3 linked regions of the Saccharomyces cerevisiae S288C genome follow. Changing the gene in region 2 together with the main gene of any one other region gives a genetic interaction. Each region holds a gene or a part of one and is shown on either strand. Other genes may lie near its edges.

Region 1 (7,271 bases), on a different chromosome or scaffold from region 2:
CAGGAAAGTCCTCTCTGGCCCGAGTGGATTCTGTAGACATTCATCAAGATGTCTGGTTAGGTCGTTAGTCTTCAATATCAAAAGCACTACACGAGGGATTCTAGACAAAATGCTCATCAAGTCGCTCAGTAACGTTCCTTCCAAGATCCCATTTGCCATGACGTCCATTTCTTCTTGTGTTCGACTCGTTGAAATGTCGTAATTCAAAGCAGCATCAATGCTACGGCCCGTAATTGCAGCCGCTAAAAGGGGAAACTGTTCGTCGGTGATGTTTGCGAATCCTTTGGCATACTTCTTCATTTTTGTCTGGTCCTTGTCGAATAGGAGCGACAACCAAAATTTGGCATAAAGTCTTCTTGTTCTCGTGCTAGGATATCTATAGAGTCCGTGGTCAAATAAAACAATTTCAAAGTTATGGTATCCATTATCTTTAGCGGGCTTAACAGATCGTATGGCCAGATTTCCTCCATGAGGATCACAATGAATACCTACATTGGGAGTAAAAATCATGTTATTGAAAATATGAGAGAGACAACTCGAAACTTCACTGCGCGAGATACCGTGACTGTCAATGTACTCCAAATCATCCAACCTTTTGCCTCCAACATATTCCATAATCAAAATTCTTTTGTGGCTTTCAATGACCTTGGGTATTTTCAATGCTGTTTGCTTCTTGAACTTACTAAAATAATGACGGGTTTTTTCTGCATTTTCAGCTTCTTTGGTAAAATTCAGTTCCACGTAGATTGAAGACTGAAGCTCATCACCAAGCCACGTTAACGGATAATCAGGGAAGAAGACATCCAGCAGTTCAAACACTGTTCTTGTCAGCATAACATCTAATGGTATAAACTCCTTCAACGATGGATGCTGACATTTGACAGCTACACTAGAACCTTTACCGTCACTATTTTTTAGTTTTGCCACATGAACCTGTGCCAAGGAAGCTACACCTATCGGGGTTTTGTTGAATTCTAAAAACATATCCTCAATGCTGGTGCCTAGATCTTCTTTAAATAACTCATCAATTTCTTCGTAGGTGGATTCGGGACAGTGGTCTTGCAACGGTATCATTGTATCCGTCCATTCTTTAGGCAACAGGTAGGTCATGGCCCCAATGTGCTGGCCTAATTTGATATATATCCCACCATTCGATCGTAGCGCATGCAACGTGATTAAGGCACACATCTTATGACATTTATTTAAGGCAACTTCTCGTTCTTTTTTGTTCTCATAGCTTTTATTTAGAGCCCTCTTGTAATGGTAGAAGCAACGAGTGGTAGCTTGTGTGACGACAGCGATTCTTTTAGTCGTCAGTGCCGTGTGCTTTACAGAATCATGAAAAGTGTCATTAAAGTTGTACAAAACTACTGCTGATGCAATAGTCCCACCCACCAGAAGAGATTTTCTTGTCCTGGGGCTTCTTTGAGGGATGCTTTTACCTGTCCTAACGTACCGACGGAATACCTCAAACGGTAGTTTGTTAAAAAAAGCTTTGGTCATCATCTACTATCAACACCGAATAAGAAACATTCAACTATAATCTTGCTCCGTTTCAGGCTCAATAAACTTTCAGACTGATTCTTTCCAGTTACGAAGGTAGGAGTACAATATGCATACATAACGCAGCGATTTACAAGATATGTTCCTCGGGTCTATGTTTTGACCTCTTTTAACGGCATATGAAAAAACCTTTGAAAAAATGAAATATTATATAAAGGTCCAGAACCCACAGTGGTACTAAAAGGCCCACTTAAGTCTCACACCTAATTAAACACCTTTGCATAAACGGTAGCTGAAGAACAACAGGCATGACCGCAATAGTGAAATGTTAGCTACTATTTCCTCTATAAAAGAAGTACGAATGTAATTAAATAAATTGTTCCTGACCAAGCACATCTGTAAAGGAAAAGCAGATTGCTAGCCAACTTTGGTGACTCAAATATTTATGAAGTTGGTCTGCTCTCTGCCGAAAGTCTATTAGGTATATGCTGTTCCAGTACCCCAAGGAACAAGGTCTGATAAATATGCTAGTTGAATTCCAAATATTTTCAAAATCAGGATTTCTTATCCAGTTATTCGACCACGGGTGGATAATGAACAGGTACCTTGTCTTTCTCCATAACCTTTGAGTTTTTATAAGATAAGTAAGTGTTCCAAAATATTGCAACGACATTAACAGCTAGTAACCTATGTTGTAAAGGAACAACAGAAAAGTTAATCGCTTGGAAAAGTGGCCAAACTGCCCAATTAGTCAAAAGTGTAGGCCACCATTGCTCTTTTATTTTCAACTTAGCTACGTCAAATGATCTACCTTCCATGATGGACATACAGGTGAAATAAAATGGCAAACCTAGCGGCGCAAACGCCAATTGATCGACAGCTACCCGTAAAACCATATTAGACCAGTGGTACTGAGGTCTGTTACGCATATAAATCTTGTTGTTCAAGATCTTGTACCACTTGTCACCTATAAAGGAGAAAATTAAAGAACCATAGATGACAGCCCTAGCTGTCCTTTTATAATCATAACCCTTGTTTACTTTGGATGTTGGAAACAACAATTGAGCAGAAACATCACCAATTCCAAATAGCGCACCTGTCATTATCGCATTCGTAGTTTTGGGCCTTCTCTTCAAGCTCGCTTCATATAAATGCAATAACTTCATACTGTTTTAATATCAATTCTATCTTTCCTATAGTAATAACAAAAGACTGTGTTTGCCTTTTCCCTTTTGTAAGGCTAAATATGACAACATAGCATTCAAATAGCTCTTCTATCATATCACTATCATAGATATTTCCATTTTTTTTTTTTTTTCACTTTGTACTTATACTGTTAAAGTTCGACATTTAAGGGACAAGGAGGTGCCACTGTTTCCCGAAACGCTTCTTGTTACCATCGGAGAGAAAAGACCAATACATACGTAATTAGAACATAGAAAATAGAACGTTTAAAGTAGATAGTTAATCACAAAGGAGAGGCATCACAACGATGCGATGGTAAAAATATATTTTAAGTGCTTTGATTACTTACTACATGCTAATTGACTACATACATAGTGTCTTGAATATTTTCTCAGTCTCAACTATTCATCTTGACCAAGTCCATTAAAAAATTCCATTTTTGAATTTCTCGGGAATATTTTTCAGCTCTATTCTAGACTCTAGTTCGTCATCAGTTATTACAGTAGCTCTAGAAGCGCCTCTTTGAATTTCTTCTTCATGTTCAATTTCATGTTCATGATGAAGCAATTCATGTTCTATGTCTTCTTTGTGAACGACTTTAACGTCTGGATCTTTGTCCTTATGAAACTTATTCCAGTGATGAATTTCATATTCTAGCTCAAAATCGGAGTGGTGACCTACACCAACGCCAAGGTCAGGGAACTTGTTTCCTCTCTTAGCAAATTGTAGATATTCCTCCTTGGTGATTTTGGTATTATCATCAACATCCAATAACCTCATAATAAGGCTAACAACACGCTTAGCCATTTCATTGTCAATTTTCTCAGATTCATCGTGTTGTCCCATACCATCACCAGCCCCCACAATTTCTTCACGGTTCAACCCGTAGAGAGATAGAATATCGTTTTCATCTAAAAATCCTTTCTTCTTGATATCATGTAACGCGAAGAAAGTCTCTGGAGTGTAATCTTTTAGCTGATGCTCATGGTCCATATGCCACTCCTCCCAGGATAAACCATCAGGTGGTGCCTCATTTTCCACATTAATTTCAGATCCTATTTCTGCCGTGGCAGTTACTTTATATAGAGTGAAAGCCAAAGAAAATACAAATCCCCTCAAAAACCTCATTTCCACAATTTTAATAGAACAGGGATGAAAAAATTTTAGGTCTTGGCTCTTTTATCTTTTCTAGAAGGAATATAATATTACGCTCAATCATGTTTTAAAGCTTCCTAGTCTATGATCCGTCACCTATTTTTATTCTTCCAAAAAAATATTTTCGTTACCCTCTTACCGAAAAGGGTATGAGGCAATGCTCAATTTGCCTGAGCTTAAGAATGTATGAAAAAAAAAGATGTCTGACTAATGGAACGCTTTTTCTTTTAAATAATGCCTTTCTTTATAATAAGGAAGTTGCGTCTATATTTTACCAAAATAAACAATATTACAAAAACATAGAAATTAAAATATACATAAATTATTGATCAATAAAAATCTTAAAGAAAACTGTGAAAGCAGTGATCAAAAAGATTAGAATTCTTCGTCAGAAGAAACGTAAGCATCACCCAATTCCTTCTTCTTCTTCATTCTTTCCTTCTTCTTCTTTCTCAATTCCGCAGAAGACAACTTCTTCTTCTTCTTACCACCGGCAATCTTGTTACCCATAGCATCGAATTTATCTTCTTCGTCTTCCTTCTTTTCGATTCTTGGACCAGCACCTTGACCACTAACCCAGTTGTGACCAGATGGAGTCATTCTACCGTCCTTGACGGCCCAGACTTCTTCAGTCAAGTTCTTTGTGAATTCAGCAGAGTGAGTAATGATAATAACACCACCTTCAAATTCCTTCAAAGCCTTAGACAAAGCACCCAAAGAATCTCTGTCCAGATAGTTGGTAGGTTCATCTAAGACAATCAAGTGAGGTCTTTGCCATGTACCGGCAGCTAAGACCAACTTAACCTTTTGACCACCAGACAAACCTCTAATTCTGGAGTGAGAAACAATTTCTGGGTCCAAACCCAACATGGAACAATGTTCTTCAATTTCTTTTCTGGTTAATGGACGGAATTGACCAGAAGCCAAAGCTTCCTTCATATCAACTTCAGCAACCATCTTAGAGTGAGATTCAACCAATTCACCTCTTGGAATCCAAGCGTTGTCGACGGACATCATTGGAACCCATCTTTCAGATTTCATACCAATGTTTTCACCCAATAAGAAAGAACATTCATATTCGTAAGTGTTCTTGAACTTTCTTCTGGAGTGGATACCGGCAATTCTTCTAGGGGTACCTTCAATCTTGAAGATCTTGTTCATAGCTTCAGCATCGTTTTCGTTGATTTGTCTGTTAGCTCTGTCCATGGTTTCTCTATCTTCACCGGTTTGGAATCTCCATTGGATATATTCAGATGGAGTCTTGTCCAAATGAGATTCGATATGAGCAAAAGCGTGTTGCTTAATGTAAGCGATACGACAATTTTCGTGGGTGTAGACTTCACCAGAGGTTGGTAATAGTTCACCAGTCAAGACGTTAATCAAAGTAGACTTACCAGCACCATTTGGACCAATGACAGCAATTCTGGAAGACAAAGAACATTGGAAGTTAATGTCAGTGATTTGTGGCTTAGAGGTACCTGGATATTGGAATTCCATGTTGGTAACCTTGACAATAGCCTTTTGCTTAGTCTTAACACCTTCCAAGTAACCTGGTTCTGGGAACTTGAATTCCAAATCAGTGTTGGATAATTCTTCGTAAGCCTTAGCAGCTGGACACTTCTTAACGAATTCGGTAAAGTTACCCTTGTACTTTCTCAACTTCAAACCTTCGTAGTTAATAATATATTCACAGACGTTATCTAAGAAAACGGAGTCGTGAGAAATAGTGATAGAAGTGATACCACAGGTGTTCAAGTAGTTAACTAACCAAGCAACGTTGACGGTATCCAAATGGTTAGTTGGTTCATCTAACAACAAGATATCAGCATTTCTCAACACAGCTCTAGCTAGAGCCAACTTCATCTTCCAACCACCAGACAAAGCAGAGATTGGCATAGCAATCATTTCATCGGTGAAACCGAATTCAATCAATTTGTCCTTGATAGCTTCTTTAGTACCAACACCAGATTCGAAAACGAAATCCAAGACGGAAGTGTCAGAGTGAGTACCATCAATGTCGTGTTCGACGTAGACGGTTCTACATTCTTCTTGGGTTGGGAAACCATCAACTTGACCGTTGGCAATAGCTCTCATTAAAGTGGACTTACCACAACCGTTTGGACCACAGATACCATATCTTCTGGCTCTCTTCAATCTTAATTGGGTCTTGTTCAACAAGATTTTAGCACCATAAGCCAAAGAGAATTCACAGTTACATAAGTCTTCACCTTCGTCTTCTTCGTCGTCGAAGTTTGGACCAACTGGAATGTTGTCGACAGCTCTCTTTCTGAATTCGTCCAAGATGTCCTTGGCCTTCTTTTCGTGCAAGAAGATAGTCATGTATGGGGTGATGTGGGTGAACCAAGCTTGTTGGTCAATGATTCTTTCATCGATCAAATCAGCACCAATGGCGGCAATGTACTCGACGACAATCTTAAATCTTGGAGCAACGGTTTCGTCCTTCAACAATTCGTTAACGACTTGCAAAGTAGTAGAAACGTCACCAGCGTGAGAAACTTCTGGAATAGCATCGTCTTCACCAACGTTACCAACTCTTCTCAAAGTCTTCAAAGCTCTCAAAGTAACTTCTCTGGCTTCTGGGTCAGCAATGGTAGCAAAGTTACTCTTCAAACCTGGCAACAATTTACCCAAGAAAGGAGCAATAACTTGTGGGTCTTCGACCAACTTACACATGTTGTCAATAATAACAGCAGACTTACGCTTGATACCGGTTTCTCTTTCGTTCAAACCTCTGGACAACAATGGGACCATGATGGACAAAGTAGCTGGAGTAACTTCAGCAACGAAAGTAGTAGCACCTAACAAATGAACGGTTTCTGGAACTTCAGTTGGGTCAGCAATACATTGAATCAAACTTGGAATGAAACGTTCAATATCCTTGTTGTCAACAGTTTCGGTAGCCTTGGTCATGGCGGCAGTAGCAGCAGCCTTGACTTCCTTCTTGGTGTCCCACATGGTTTCAGACAAGACTGGAATCAATTCTGGCATTCTTAGGGCAACTTGATCCTTAGCAGCATCGACCATAGCAGAGATAGCTGCCAAAATAGCAATCTTTTCTTGCCATTTGTTAGTTTCGACAATAGCGTTAGTCAAATGTGGCAACAAAGCTTTGATGGCAACTGGGTTAACAGCGTTAACGATGGAAATCAAAGTTTCGGAAGCAACAGATTGAATTTCTTTGTCCTTGTTACCTGCGTTGGTACAGATAGCTGGAACCAATTGGACGATGTATGGTTCAACAGATGGAGACAAGTTAGATTGGTTAGCAATGTGAGCAACAGCTTGCATGGCGTTAGCAGCGGTCTTCTTGTCCTTGATACCCTTGGCCAATTCACCGAAGAAGTGTTCTGGAACATCATGTTCAATGATGTTACCATTCAAGAAAGAAGCGACTTCAGAAGCGATTT
Region 2 (9,207 bases):
TTTAATGTAGAAAAAGATGCAATAGAATTGCTCATTCCTAGAAGGATTTTGACCTTGGATTTATAAAGGTATATAATATAAAGTCTATTTTCAATTTTTCAAGAACTTGAACTACGTTTGTAAGTATGTTTCACCAGATATAACGATAAAACAATTCCCACTGCTGCCAGGGCTATATTTGGAATATAGGAAATCAGGAATGCCTTTTTGTAGACATCAAGAATGCGAACAAATATATCCGTTGGAAAATTGGGCCCTCTCAAGTAACTCGAATCATTGATAAGGGAGTAGTACTGCTTTTTGGTGAAGTGATATTCGTCATCACGCTTGGTTTTGAACATATAATTCCATAACATGGACGACAGGCTATTCTCATAGGACACTAAAGTTAAAGAGGCACCAAGAACGTTACCAATGGATCTCCACAAATAGAAAACACCAGTCATGGTTCCTTGCTGTGATTTTTCGACGGTGAATACGATGCTTACTAACGTGGCCACTAATAGACAAGCGTAACCAAAGGACACAAGGACTGATGCAAACACATATATCAATTTCCACCATATTGAGTTAGATCTGAATGTAATAGACTCAAGCATATCATATATGGTGTAGTCAGGATTCAAGTGTGAAAGTAGGAAATAGCCCAATCCCAAACCCAATAGCTGCATTATCATACCACCAAAAATGATTTGATATGCACAGTGTGCTAGGTTAATTTTCGTATTCCGCAATACCCATCCTGTTACCAATGATCCGACTGCAACTGATATAGAGGGGAAAATCAAAAAGAGGCCAGTCTTTGTTACACTAATATTTTGAAGCAATTGTAAATAGATTGGTGACCTAAAGATTTCACCAAATACAACAAATGAAGATATAACCGTTACCGCTGAGCTCAAACAGAATGAGCGAGTCAATAGTTCGAATGGTAAAATTTTCTCAGTCGCGTAATAACGTTCAACCAGGATAAAAACAATAAAGCTACCAATGGTAAACAATGCTAAATACAACTTGTTCAACTGGCTAGAGCACAAAAATAAAACTCCACTAATGGTCGCCACCAGGCTTAATGAGCCAAATATATCTATCCGTGACAGATTCTTTAAGGTATATCTTTCTTTCATAGGAGGAACATGGAATAGCTTAATATTAATGTTTTTGATTGCTAATACCGAGCACAACATTATCACGGGTACTTGGATACCAAAAAGAGCCCTCCATCCAATGGTTTCTATAAATACACCACCCAACGGAGCACCTAGTAATTGACCAAACCCGAAAACAATATTCGCATATCCCTGGTAAACGCCCCTTTCTCTTGCTGTACATATGTCACTAACAGCAATGCTACTAATAGCATTCAATCCTCCTGCACCAATACCACATATGGCTCTTGCTATTGAGAATTCCGTGACGTTTCTGGCAAAACATGTTAATAAGCACCCAAGGCCAAAAAAAAATTGAGCGGTTAATAATGCTGACTTCCGCCCTGTTATATCAGAAAGCTTCCCATATAGTGGTTGGAAAGCCGTATTTGTCAAAAGAAAACTCGTCGCAATCCATTGCTTTTTACTTGATTCAGAGAATTCCTCAGCAACTCTATTCATTATATTTGCGACAATAGTGCTATCCAAGGAACTCAAAAAACTACCCAACCATAGCGAAAACAAAATGGGAAACTTAGGTAAGGCCAAATTATATTCATGAAATTTTTGTTCCAAGGGAGGGGCTTCAGCTTCCTCAGGTGGAGGGAGTAGATTTGAAGTCTCGTCTAGTGTTTGCATTCTTCTTGTTCCCTCAACAACTAGGGCTCTGAGCTTAGTGAAGAACAAAGAGGAGACAAAAAACAAAATAATTCGATAGAAAAAAATCGCTGCTGTATTCTTATATTTTGGGAATGTGGGTTGGCCTAAAGTGGAACCGCATGCTCTTCTCTATCACCGGCCCTTAAGATGACCTACGTTTATTGTCGGACAGATATCATCCAACAAAACGACGCAGTGAAAAAGTGTATCATGCGAATACTGAAGATAAGATAGGCTAAGCCGTGGAATCAGCGATAAAAAAAAGATCGCGTGTATTAACCAATGACAGCCTCACAGAAGCGCTTTGATCATATATAGATATAGGTGCATTTATACACGTATATATATTTACATGTTTTCAGATTAGATTATATGGTAAATACGTGACAGTGTTCTACCGAAAAAGAAAGATGTCTGGCTTTCAATAAAATAAGCAAGATATGTAGAACAGTCTTCCTCCATTTCTTTGTATTGTGAAATATCAATCAGTTTGTAGATGGCTTAGGCTCATTACGTTTTTCGTTTTTTTCTTCTTCCTTCCTGATTTTTTCCGTTTCGTAATCGTTCAAGTACTTATCAAAAGCATCATTCCTTTCTGGGAAAGGGCGCTTACCAAGTAAATCAATCATATCTTCTCTTGTCAAAACTTCTTTTTTCAGTAGTACTTGAGCAATCTTCTCTACATCTTCTGCTTTTTCTTTAAGCAGCTTTGTACATCTGTCATGGCATTCTTGGACGATTCTGTATACTTCGGAATCAATAATGTCACCTGTCTCGTCCGAAAATGGTTTTGTCAAATCGCTATCATCTCTCTTCTGGTAATTGACCCAGCCAATTTTATCACTCATGCCTAATTCTGTGACCATTGCCGTGGCCATGCTAGTAACTTTTTTGAAGTCATCAGATGCGCCACTTGTAACTGATGGGAAATGTAATTCTTCAGAAACTCTTCCACCCAGAGACATGGTCATTCTGTCCTTAAGTTGCTGTTCAGTTAGTAAGAAGATATCACCTGGCAAATACTGTGCATAACCAAGGGCGCCCTGGCCACGTGGAATAATACTGACTTTCAGAAGAGGATCTGCGTATTTTAAGTACCATCCACATACAGCATGACCAGCCTCGTGGTAAGCCACTACTTTCTTCTCTTCGGGAGAGAGTAGCTTGGATTTGCGTTCCACTCCACCGATGACTCTTTCGATAGCTTGTTCAAAATGATTCAATTTTACTGCATCTTCATCACTTCTAGCAGCAATCAAGGCGGCCTCGTTACAAACGTTGGCAATATCAGCACCAGAAAAGCCTGGCGTCAAAGCCGCTAATCTATTTTTCAAATCAAAAATTTCCCCGGCAAGTTTCAAATGATGTAAATGAACAGCAAAAATGGCTTTTCTACCCTCAAGTTCGGGCTTGTCGATATTGATATGCCTGTCAAATCTACCAGGCCTTAATAATGCTTTATCGAGAATATCGGGTCTATTGGTACCAGCTAAAACAACAACGTGGTCAGCTGGAGTGAAACCATCCATTTCTACTAACATTTGATTTAGCGTGTTCTCTCTCTCATCATTGGCACCTGAAAAATTACCCTTTTGTCTTGCTTTTCCTATAGCATCAATTTCGTCAATAAACACAATTGAGGGTGCATTTTCTCTTGCAGTTTTGAACAAATCTCTTACTCTTGCTGCACCAACACCAACAAACATTTCTACAAATTCTGAACCAGAAACAAAATAAAACGGAACACCGGCTTCACCTGCTGTTGCCTTTGCAAGCAAAGTTTTACCGGTACCTGGTGGACCAGATAGAATCGCACCTCTAGGAATTTTAGCTCCCATTTTTTCATAACGAGAAGGTTCTTTCAAGAAGCTAACAAACTCCATAATTTCTTCCTTAGCCTCATCGCATCCGGCAACGTCCTTGAACTTGATCTTAACGTCTGTTTCAGTGTTAAATTTTTTAGCCTTAGAACGACTCAGACCAAATATGCCTCCACGGCTACCGCCCGCTGCTTGTGCCGATCTTCTTGTCAACCAAATAATACCTGCAATCATTAAAACAGTTGGCAAAATTTGGAACATAGCTTTAGCCCAATTGCCTTCTTGAACATATAGTACAGGTATTCTGAAATCCTTATCAATGTCCAGTTCGTCCTGTGCTTTCTGAAGTTTGTGTTCGAAGCTATCAATTGAACCAATTGTGAAATAATAGAAGTTGCGACCGTAATTGTCGGCTTGGTTTTTTCCGTTGTCATTTAACATCACTTTCACCATGGACTTGTTGACAACAATCAACTTCGCAACATAACCTTTTGCCAATAGTTTCTCTCTAAAATCCTGCCACGTTATCTCACTTTGCTCTTCCAAACTGTTGAGGAGATCCAATAAAAACGAAAGGAGGAAAAAAGTTAGTCCTATCTGGAATAAGTTAACATTTTTCGATACAGGATTACTAGGATCATTTAGAGGTGGTTTTGGGGGAGGAGGTGGTGGTGGCGGTGGAATATTTCTGCTATTGTTACCTTCAAAGTAGCCCTGCTCTTTTGTTCTGTTTGACTTGGCTTTTGAAGGACCATTTTCCTCCTCTTTTTCCTTTCTTTCTTCTTGAATTCTGTTAGATTCTTGTTTCAATACAGCATCTTCTAAACGCCTAATACTTTCATCAATTTTGCGTTTCTGTTCTTTCCAGTTAGCCGGTATAGTATTATTTTTAGTTTGTTCGATATATTTTTCTACTTGTTTTCTTATTGCTTCAACCTCTTCGTCTGTGGGAATTTCTTTGTTAAGTTTAGCGTCTTCGTTATTGTCCTCGTTCTTGTTACCGCTCTTATTCTCTTGCAGCCTATTGAGTAGCCGATATTGAGTATGTAAACTCTTGATATGGGTCAAGCCGTAATAGGACCGGAAGCGAACGGGCCTTCTAACTACCTTAGTAGCAATTCTTGACCAAGAAAGTAGCAACATTAGTACTCTTTCTAACTTTAAAGTTGCTTGCCAAGACTCTTGAGTGTGCTATATTGTATTCGTTGGCAGCTCAAAATCTTTCCTTTAAAACTATAGTGGCAAAAGTTAGAGATCGTTTTCACGAGAAAATGATGGGGAAAAATGGACCAAAAGACAAATGTATTCACAATGTGACACCAGATAGCTTGGTGATTAGTATATAGATCTTACAGGACACCGAATAATACCAGAAGGGACTTTCTTATTGAACGAACCGATATGTGCATGCGTTATCCTATAAAGAAATACGTCCGGATGGGATATTCAAACAAGACGCCGGACAAAATAATTCACACATATGGAGGATGTTACGTACATGAGCACAAGACGAACCGTACAAAGAGAAACATACATCATCACTCAGACGATAAGATCATAAATTAGCAGATGACACTTTAGTTTATTCTCTTTGGTAGGTTTTCTACAATCAGAATTATCTAACGGCGAACTTCTGTAGGCAGAGTTTTCGCATCGCCCAATGAGATAATGCACTTTCAAAAGACCACGCTGCACTTGCATCAAATTGGTTTACGAAAGAGCAAAGTCGAGGATTAGCACATTCCGTGTGCCCATACGTTACCATTTTTGACAAAGTTGGCAACATCAAGCGAGACATATCTACAAATATACGTATCAGAATTGTACCCGAAGTATTTCTGGTTATATTCGTTGCTAACCATTTTAACGTATTCAGCCTAGTAGCCTGCAAGAACTATTAATACAAATCGTGAAACAGAAGTTCTTTGAGTTAAAGTACAAAGACAGACAACAGCCCTCGGTGAACCTGTTGGTGTGTGTTTCCTGTATCACAAAACACAAGCGAGCAAAGAAATACGACGTTATAGCTTTTAATAATACGACGAGACAATGTTAGTGGCCGTAATAACTTTCCAACAAAAGTACTTTCCAAACTTTGCTGTTACCTCTGTGATTGTTTAGTACGAAAATTGTATCGCGCTGTCAACAGCAAGGGGCTGCAAGTATTACGTAAGGGTACACTCGAAGTAGGGATATATATTTAAAGTCCCATCGTGACGCTCATAATAGGATACTTTCCCTCCAAATAAAAATTCATTGAAGTTATATCATCGGTATTCATATATTATTGACTTAACAGCCATGTCTCCTATGAAAGTTGCGGTTGTCGGTGCCAGTGGTAAAGTTGGACGTTTATTGATAAACCAATTGAAGGCCAACGATAGTTTCTCAACACCATTAGCGATTGTTAGAACACAGGATCAAGTCAATTATTTCAAGAATGAAGTAGGTGTTGATGCTAGTTTGACAGATATAGAAAACGCGTCCGTTAGTGAGATCACAGACGCTATTAAGGCTTATGATGCCGTGGTCTTTAGCGCCGGTGCGGGTGGTAAAGGAATGGAAAGAATTTTCACGGTTGATCTGGATGGCTGTATCAAAGTTGTTGAAGCATGCGAAAAGGCTGGTATCAAAAGGTTCGTTGTTGTTTCAGCGCTCAAGGCGGAGGATAGAGATTTTTGGTATAACATTAAGGGTTTGCGTGAATACTATATTGCAAAGAGATCTGCTGATCGTGAGGTTAGAAACTCTAATTTGGATTACACTATTTTACAGCCTGGATCGTTGGAACTAAATAAAGGTACCGGTCTTTTGCAACCCCTTGACAAATTAGAAGAGAAGGCTTCTGTTAACTACTCCATTAACAGGGAGGATGTAGCTTCTTTTATTGTGGAAAGCTTGCTACATCCAAATGCAACAGTGAAAAAAACCATTTCGTTGGTAAATGGCAACGAGCCAATGGAAAAATTCATTCAAAGTTTGTAGATCAACCTATTTACGCGTGAAATGCATATGTAGATGAATAGTCAAGAAAAGAAAAAGAAAGTGAGAATATATGAATTTTTTTACCTTGATTTGAAGATAAAAATTTGTTATATTGTTACATTGAGTATACTAAATATATTCGTTGCATTTTTCGAAATTTTGTTGTTCGGTGATAGCCCTTAAAACGTCTTCATCAACAACGTCTTCATAGATCTCTTTCGGGATTTCCGACAGTCCCGTTTTCGGTTTATTCAAATCGTTATCGTGTATAACGGTCTCATACACAATGCTTGTGTCGCTGGGACTATCGTTTTTTGATCTCCTCCATCCTAAAACAGTGGTTGACTGTGTGGATTCTGGTATGTGTAATATATTTGTGTATGCATCTCTCAAGCCTTGTTGATCTACAAGAAGAACCTTCACTCTATCATAAAACAAATCGCTATTAAATCTACTACACGCAGCAGAATGCTGATAGAGCCAATTTGTAGAGCTCAGCTTACTACCTGATGCAATAATATTAGAATTACTCATGTGACCATGTGGCCTGTGTTCAAAGAATTCCACCTGGTTTTTTGCAGGGTTTATGCCATTCTCGGAAGCAGGATACATCATGGTTTCTAAGGCCCTTGCGGATTTATCAATAGGATCACCAGCAAGTTTTCCTTCAATTACATTTCCCTTTGTTCTTAATTCAGAAGCATAATAATCATCGGTTATATGTTTGCCGCCACGAATGATTTTAGCACCAAATTCTTTAAACACGCCTCTAGCGGTGACTAGAGCGATTTGTCTATTTCTATATGAATAAGGTAAAACGCCACGGTCTATCAAGTCGTTCTTTTGAGTTTGATTCAGAATGAACTTATAAAGGTTGGGGTGAGTTTGAAAAAATAAATATGAATCTCTAAAACCCACTATCCTAGCCGGTTCGGTGGCCAGCATAAACTTTCGATTCCCCTTCTCAGTTAATGTGAAGGTGCGCACTAAAAATTCTCTGCCTCCTAATAGATCACCATCTGCAGTTATCTTCGTCTCACCTTCAGGATCATCTGGTAGAACATATTCTTCATTGACCACTTTCAAAGGATTTAAGTTCTCCTCAGCATCATCGATTCCGGGAAATACTGGTTTTTTGAACTTTGAACGGTTTCTAGATCTAGTAACGCCTTTATCCTCTGACAAATCCTCTTCTTCGTCCACGTGCCTCCTTTTGTTTCTTCCGCTTTTATTTATCTGTTCCTCCTCATCACTTATTTCTTCTTCATTCACTCCCTCATTGGCTTCTTCTTCTCTGTAATCATCATCTTCATTCTCATCATTTTCATCAATATCTAAATCCTCAGTATCAATTGCATAATTGGGTCTGTTGCTAGTAGATCTTGACCGCTTCTCATGTTCAACTTCGGAAGCTAGACCTCCCTCTGAATCTGACATTTCTGCTAGATGGTATTTCCTTCTTCAAAAGTAAATGTACTGTATTCAGTAATGCTTAAACTTTATAAAGCTGTTTTCTTGCAATATTTTTGTCTGCTCACAGTAACATGTTTAATAGTTCGAACGGGTTTTTTTTTAAAAGAGCGAAGTAATCAAAGCATTCGGGTAATAATTACAAGTTTATATGGACTGTGGTAAAAACAGTGTAAAACTTTTTTATATCTATTTTTCTAAGGTTACGTAATTGTTTACTTTATATTCTTATCTCACTCGAGGACAACATTCCACCTTTTAATGCAAGCGTCCGCACCAGAACTAACCAAGGTAGATGGTGTTTCCCATAAAAGGTTGTTAACACCGTCCTTGTGAGCATTCAACGCCTTAATGATTTTCATAGGTCTTTTGACGGAGTAAATAAAAATATTGGTGTCTAAAGAACCAGTGGCAACTAAGTCCTCTTCAATTTCCTCTTCGTTTGCTCCCTTTTCAGCAGGTTTCCATGAAATGGCGTTGATTTTACTGGTGTGGAAAGCCCATCTTGAAGTTTTCACTTCTCTTGATTGTAAATCATATAGCAATATCTTGCCCATAACATCTCCAGCAGCGATGTATGTTTCAGATGGCGAAATTGATATGTACGAGGGTTTTGCGCGAAGAGGTGTTTTTAAATCAAAACTGACTTCCAAATCTGATAATTTGAATACCTGAATAGTATTACCTTCTTCCAAACCAACTGCAACGTAATTTTGGCTCAAGCTAACGGCAGAGCCTGGTGAGTTCAGTCTTACACTCTTGATTATATCGCCCGTAAAAGACTGTAATATCAACAAATCATCATCATTTGTTAGTACTGCAGTGAAGCCATCATTGTTCGCACTAGCAACCTTTGGTTGCGATCCAAATTCATGCTTAGTAATACCGTTCACTTTCAAAGTATCATCCCAAGAAATACTGGAGTATTCTTGCGCTTTACTATTATCCAATGATACAATCAAGTTGGAGTGATCTTGGTGCATGGAAGAGCTAGACCATTCCATAATCCTACCATCATATGACCCACTGATTAGTGGGTTGACTGTCAAAGCAGTAATACCCTTGTTATGACCACTAATGGTTTTTAAAACCTCGTCATGTCCAAGTTCATAGAAGTTTAAGGT
Region 3 (7,343 bases), on a different chromosome or scaffold from region 2:
CATCGCCAGATGCAGAAAGGTTGTCTCATGAAATAAAAACGGACAGACCATGAAGGCTAAAGGAAAAAAATAAAATGCCATCTCCTAGAATCGAACCAGGGTTTCATCGGCCACAACGATGTGTACTAACCACTATACTAAGATGGCAAACAACTGTGAAGTTTTTGGTTACATCTGCACATCTGGTTGAATAAATATTATGTACTCTTTGCTTTTTTATGTTAAACCTACAAGTGGTGACTGTAAAGAAGCATTACAACGTAGAACTGATAAAGGGGAGAAATATGTGAGTTGTTAGATAATTGTTGGGATTCCATTGCTGCTAAAGGCTATAATATTGGTATACAGAATATACTAGAAGTTCTCCTCGAGGATATAGGAATCCACAAAAGGGAATCGATAGTTCTACATAATGTTATTATTTTATCTTCCTTCCTTTTATATGTTGTCATTCATTATCCTATTACATTATCAATCCTTGCATTTCAGCTTCCATTAGATCGGATGACTGTTTCTCAATCTTTATGTCATCTTCTCACACCGCATGTGATAATATAATATTAAATAGATGATATTAGAGTTCAATTCCAACAAAAGGGGAGTAGTTACATAAGCTTTCCGTAATGGTGAATTTATAGCAGTTTCCTTCTCGATGAAAGGAAGGGAAAGAATTAAATATACTCGAATGCTTGTACCACTCCATTTCCCCATTTATCACATTTAAAGTTACGAGTAAAAAAGTGACCGATATAGAATGTCTGATGAAAGAGCAAATGAAAGAAACATCAAGAAAGCATATTGAAATTAGCAAGTGAAAGCAAAAAAAGTAGATGAGTAAGCATTATAATGCGTCCAGTCTGACTTTTTTGTTGGAATAAAAATCAACTATCATCTACTAACTAGTATTTACGTTGCTAGTATATTATCATATACGGTGTTAGAAGCTGGCGCAAATGATGAGAAATAGTCATCTAAATTAGTGGAAGCTGAAACGCAAGGATTGATAATGTAATAGGATCAATGAATGTTAACATATAAAACGATGATAATAATATTTATAGAATTGTGTAGAATTACAGATTCCCTTTTATGGATTCCTAAATCCTTGAGGAGAACTTCTAGTATATCTACATACCTAATATTATAGCCTTAATCACAATGGAATCCCAACAATTACATCAGAATCCACTGAGTCTTCATTTTTTCCTATTTTTTGAATTAATTTTTGTTCGTATCCATTGGGCTGGCGAGCAAGTCCATCAAATAAAAAGGCGCGTAATTCGCTTCGTTTCGTGTCTTCGAAAATGAAGACCAGTTTTCCTCCTTAAAAGTACTTTAATTCGGAGAGCCGATTATATAAAGTGAAAGACTTAGTACTTCGTTAGCTCATATCGTTTTCTTATTTTGAAATAGGTTATCTATAGAATACTTTATCAAGTTATCAGGTTCTTTCCGGAAAAACATCTCATAAATCATCCCTGGAAAAATGTCTAGTCAAACAGAAAGAACTTTTATTGCGGTAAAACCAGATGGTGTCCAGAGGGGCTTAGTATCTCAAATTCTATCTCGTTTTGAAAAAAAAGGTTACAAACTAGTTGCTATTAAATTAGTTAAAGCGGATGATAAATTACTAGAGCAACATTACGCAGAGCATGTTGGTAAACCATTTTTCCCAAAGATGGTATCCTTTATGAAGTCTGGTCCCATTTTGGCCACGGTCTGGGAGGGAAAAGATGTGGTTAGACAAGGAAGAACTATTCTTGGTGCTACTAATCCTTTGGGCAGTGCACCAGGTACCATTAGAGGTGATTTCGGTATTGACCTAGGCAGAAACGTCTGTCACGGCAGTGATTCTGTTGATAGCGCTGAACGTGAAATCAATTTGTGGTTTAAGAAGGAAGAGTTAGTTGATTGGGAATCTAATCAAGCTAAGTGGATTTATGAATGAATAACTTATGGCATGGGAGGGTACATATGAGCGCCTTTTTTTTCTCGCTTTGGGCAGCTCATATCATGTTCCCTCACTAGCTAATAATATAATGAATTTTTTAGAAGGAGCACGATTATATAAAAAAAATACCACTTATGTTGCTACCCTTATATACGAATTTATAATACTTAATGACGCTTCAATGACGCCTGATGTCAAATGCTTTTGGCTCCCAGTGAAATTGCCACACTTCCTTCTTCTTTCCGAACTTTATAGTATCATCGAAAAATACAAGTTGGCAAAGGTCTATTACAATCGCGGAACGTACGATGTTCATACGGTTTCAGCGAATAGTCTTGTAATATCCGGAAGCATGCCTACCGGCATTATTATAGGTAGTTCATCGCCCTTGGACTATGTAGGGGTACAAGTAAATAGGCAACTTGAAATGGATCTCCCTATTGAATGAAACATTTAAGGGTGCCCAACCCTTAAGTTGATAGAGCTACTACCGTTCTTTTAGGTTTAACAGTTTCTCCAATAAATTTGGCAATATGCAGGGATCCCAAATTGAAATTTCTGGCGGAATGTATATATTAGACTTGCAGCTGAGTTTTATCGCGTACACTATTCTAGGGACTTTGGACCTAACTCTGACAACAAAAACTCAAGTAAAAAAAAGCTTACATTTTTAAATGATGAGATCTAATATTTTGAAATTATTACAACGGACAAGTAGGAGATATGTATCCTCAAAGGATTTTGAGCCTGTGATAGGGTCTAATCCTAAGAAACAAACATCTAGACTAATGGTCGGTTCTGTGGGTGTTATGATTCCAGTTCTACTTTATTTGTTTTATAAGAACGATAGCAAACATAGTGAAATTAAAAAGATATACCAAAATGAGAAAAAAATTTAAAAAGTTGTTATATAAGGGTTTTCGTATATAACACAGAATGGTAAACCGAGTCACGAAGCTCAATCTTTTTTTTTTATGTCTTTCTCTAACGTTTTTTCGTCTATATTCAAAAAAAATAAAGTTGGTAACATATAATGCATATATTCATTTGATCTAATCGCTTGCTTTTTATTTCAGTAGCATTTTCGTATTGCGTCGCGACCAGAGAAGTATGAGCACCAGAGGTAACACGTATATACATTTATACATAAATATATCTATTTAGTTTCCTTTCTTGGAAGCTTCAGCAGCTGCTACATTTCCAGGTTGATTCTTCTCATCAAAATATTTCTCCAGGTTTTTGACTTGCTTTTGTAGGCCCTCCAGAGAAATTTGCTTTTTCCTTAGTTCCTCTTGAAGTTTGGTGGAATCAGCTTCATTTGAGTCTTTCTTGCTGTTTGAGGAAGGTTTGTTCAATTTTTGCTTTTCTTGTTCGTTGATTAAGCCTTGGTATTTCACCAGTCTCTTGACAATAGACATGACAGTTGGGATACAGATAGAAAAGTACAATATGAACCCGGAAATATACATATTTCTTTGATTGTACGCTCTTGATGCTAGTGCCTGTATTGGAGTTACAGCAGATGACCCGATTGAGCCACTGTTGTCGTTGTGGTATAATGAAACACGAATTTGAGACCTTTTCCATGAATCAATAAACAACAGGCCAACAAGACAACCCGTTATAAAGATTATAGTTTTTATTTGCTGCTTCGCTGTCAATTGGTTATAGGTGCTAAAAATACCCCTACGGATCCGGAATGGCAAAGGCAAAACGAAGATGAAGAGCATTACCATCTCAACAGTGAGCAATAAAAATAATGTCGTAAAGTATAAACTCATCGCAATATTATTTATTCTTCTCGGTTTTCAGTACTTGCCACTTTGCGAAAGGATAGCAGAAAGGAGCGTTGCAATGAACGAATAGCTTTAAACCAGAAACTATACAAGGTCCCACTTGGCATATATTTCTATTTTTGCACTGCGCCAGAGGGTTTAGTAGCGCCCCCTTTATGTTAACGTATCCTGTGATATAGCATGCAGCTGCGGGTTACATGTAAATTGTTCAGGGCATAAGCAGTACGTATCGAGGAGGTAAAAGACGTTGCAAGTAGGTAGATAGTACAATATAGATAAGCCCAACAGTTTGCGTACGCCTTAAAAGTAGTGGTGTTCTGCGTTTATGTTCTCTCCCTTCTTTTCTATCTAGGTTTTTATGGCGCACTTAAAATATTCTGCTGCTTCAACGGGCGGCGATCTACGGAGAAATTTTTGGCATAAAGTCAAACTTAGAAAGAGCACATAAGCCATAACTTCTTTTTGATATGTGAAACCTAGCCCAGGTTGTCGTTAGTAGTACCTGGCCCTTTAAATATATTTTTGTACTATCGTATACTTGTATAACTATTCATCATTTTCTGGTTTGGTAGTCCGCATTTTTTCATTTGATGACTAAGTTGTACGTATTGCTACACTGAGTTTATCCCCTTACTTCGACAGTAAATTGAGAGAATAAAAGTGAGAAGTGTAGAGAAGAAAAAGATTAAAAATGAGCACTGATAACTCACAAAAGGATGAAGGTGTTCCTTTGCTTTCCCCTTACTCTAGTAGCCCTCAACTAAGGAAAAAGAAGCGCAATCAAAAAAGAAGAAAGGACAAGTTTGTTGGTCACTTGAAGTCAGACTCACGTAGGCCAACGCAACTGCTGCATGATAATCTGCAACACAATCACGGCCAGATTACTGATTTCGACCAGATCGATTCCTGGGGCATGCTGCATGAATCTGATTCTACAAGTAATGATATAATAAAAAGTGAGGATCCATCGCTCAAGGGCGCGTTCATTGATCATAGACCTTCAATGAGCCAACCTAGGGAGGGGCCTCAAAGTGTATCAAGCACAGTTCAACCACAGCCAATAATGAAGTTTTCAACACCAAGTTACAAGAAACCCGCAGGGTTAAGACCCTCTGATCAGAATAGATCATTAGTATCGGACTTATCCCCTTCAGAGCTTGAATCATGGCTGAAGAGAAGGAAATCTGTTCATAAGAGTTTTGTTGACGAAAACTCCCCCACCGATAGGAGACAATCGAACGCGAATAATGATGTCGTGATTGATGTTGATGCGTTAATGAACCATGTTAACAACAATGCAAGTACTGGGGTTAATGATAACAGCAAGAGAAGAAAGAAAAAGAGGGGTTCTGATGATAGTAGCAACAAAAATTCCAAATCCACATCCAGTGATTCAAACGATGAAGAGGATGAGTATAACTCAAGGCCATCTTCTAGTCTTTCTTCAAATAACTCTTCTTTGGATGACGTTTGTTTAGTGCTTGATGATGAGGGTAGCGAAGTGCCAAAAGCTTGGCCTGATTGTACTGTTTTGGAAGAATTTTCCAAGGAAGAAACAGAGAGACTAAGAAGTCAAGCTATTCAAGATGCTGAAGCTTTCCACTTCCAATACGATGAAGATGAGGAAGATGGAACATCAAATGAAGATGGAATTCTTTTTTCAAAGCCAATCGTAACTAATATTGATGTCCCTGAATTGGGAAACAGAAGGGTAAACGAAACAGAGAATTTGAAGAACGGCCGTTTAAGGCCAAAAAGAATTGCGCCATGGCATTTGATTCAACGTCCAATGGTCCTTGGGTCCAATTCAACCAAGGACTCAAAATCAAGAATTCAAAGCGGATTACAAGATAACTTACTAGTCGGCAGAAATATTCAATATCCTCCGCATATTATTTCTAATAACCCAGAACATTTCAGGTTCACTTATTTTAGGGTGGATTTGGACTCTACTGTTCATTCTCCGACAATATCTGGTTTACTGCAACCTGGTCAAAAATTTCAAGATTTATTTGTCGCTTCTATATACTCCCAAGATAATAGCGCTGGTCATATCAAGACACATCCAAATTCTCCAACACCTGGTATAAAAGCAGAAACTGTATCTCAACTCCAGGGATTGACAGCTAAAAACCCTTCCACTTTATCGTCTATGTCTGTGGCAAATATAGAGGATGTTCCTCCATTCTGGTTGGATGTCAGCAATCCTACTGAAGAGGAGATGAAAATATTAAGTAAAGCTTTCGGAATTCACCCTTTAACTACAGAAGATATTTTTTTGGGAGAAGTTCGTGAGAAAGTGGAACTATTTAGAGATTATTACCTGATTTGTTTTAGAAGTTTCGATATTGTAGCAGAAAAGCATGTTCGTCGGAGGAGAAAAGAAAAGCAAGAATCTGCTACCTTGGATCATGAAAGTATTTCACGTCGTAAATCACAAGCCTATGGTGCTACTATGTCAAATGAATCAAATGCAAATAACAATAACAGTACAAGCAATGCAAGTAGGAGCAAATGGCTTCCATCGATTTTACGTGCACGCCGTCGGTCATCTGCAAATAGAACAACCAATACATCATCATCAAGCTATAAACGCCGTGTCAAAAGCGAAAAGAAAAAGATGGAAGAGAACGAAAAATTCAAAAGAAAATCAGGAGACAGGCACAAACCACGTGAGGGAGAATTAGAGCCATTGAATGTTTACATTATTGTTTTCAGAACTGGTGTATTGACGTTTCATTTTGCTCCCACACCACATCCTATTAATGTTCGAAGAAGAGCAAGACTACTAAAGGATTACCTTAATGTTACCTCTGATTGGATTGCGTATGCCTTAATCGATGACATTACAGACGCATTTGCCCCTATGATAGAACTTATCGAAGATGAAGTTTATGAGATTGAGGACGCCATTTTGAAGATGCATCAGTCAGATGATTCTAGTGATAGCGATTCTAGCGATAGTGATTCCGATTCGGGCGCTAGCGATGAGGATGCATTTCCGTTCGATGTCTATTCTAAAAAGACGTCCTACTCTAGTGCAAAATCTAGTGTGAGTTCAAGAAGTATGAGCACTTCTGAAGCGTCATTCAATGCAAATTTGATAGGTTGGAAGAGAAAAGGAGATATGTTGAGGCGGATTGGTGAATGCCGTAAAAGAGTGATGAGTATACTAAGATTGCTAGGATCCAAGGCTGATGTGATAAAAGGATTTGCCAAAAGGTATAATGAGCAATGGGAAGCTTCGCCACAATCTGAAATCGCAATGTATTTGGGTGATATTCAAGATCATATTGTAACCATGGTCTCATCGCTAAACCATTATGAAAAACTGTTAAGTAGATCGCATTCAAATTATCTGGCACAAATCAACATTGATATGACGAAGGTTAATAATGACATGAACGACGTTTTGGGAAAAATTACCATACTGGGTACTATTGTTCTGCCAATGAATGTGATTACGGGTCTGTGGGGTATGAATGTTATCGTGCCCGGACAATACAGGGATTCGTTGACATGGTTTATAGGCATTGTGCTTTTTATGTGTATGCTAGCATGTTCTGCATATATGTATACTAAGAGAAGATTCGGGT

The links. A genetic interaction does not mean that the proteins touch.
Region 1: mutations in YTA12 (region 2) and SSP120 impair growth when combined (synthetic growth defect), as found in Saccharomyces cerevisiae (one large-scale study listed by BioGRID).
Region 3: mutations in YTA12 (region 2) and YET1 together harm fitness more than expected from each alone (negative genetic interaction), as found in Saccharomyces cerevisiae (one large-scale study listed by BioGRID).

The regions. Positions count from the first base shown.
Region 1 is NC_001144.5:636,862-644,132, reverse strand, and holds SSP120 (nucleobindin SSP120), read right to left. Parts: upstream 3,817-7,271; coding exon 3,112-3,816; downstream 1-3,111. Other genes in the region: CQD2 (Cqd2p), read right to left, coding at 1-1,506; SYM1 (ethanol metabolism protein), read right to left, coding at 2,076-2,669; YEF3 (translation elongation factor EF-3), read right to left, coding at 4,219-7,271.
Region 2 is NC_001145.3:443,316-452,522, forward strand, and holds YTA12 (m-AAA protease subunit YTA12), read right to left. Parts: upstream 4,772-9,207; coding exon 2,294-4,771; downstream 1-2,293. Other genes in the region: PDL32 (putative ADP-ribose 1''-phosphate phosphatase), read left to right, coding at 1-66; VBA1 (Vba1p), read right to left, coding at 99-1,787; YMR090W (uncharacterized protein), read left to right, coding at 5,930-6,613; NPL6 (Npl6p), read right to left, coding at 6,743-8,050; AIP1 (Aip1p), read right to left, coding at 8,317-9,207.
Region 3 is NC_001143.9:313,326-320,668, forward strand, and holds YET1 (Yet1p), read right to left. Parts: upstream 3,733-7,343; coding exon 3,112-3,732; downstream 1-3,111. Other genes in the region: YNK1 (nucleoside diphosphate kinase), read left to right, coding at 1,487-1,948; DPC7 (Dpc7p), read left to right, coding at 2,629-2,850; putative Mg(2+) transporter MNR2, read left to right, coding at 4,439-7,343. UniProt on the Saccharomyces cerevisiae protein: May play a role in anterograde transport of membrane proteins from the endoplasmic reticulum to the Golgi.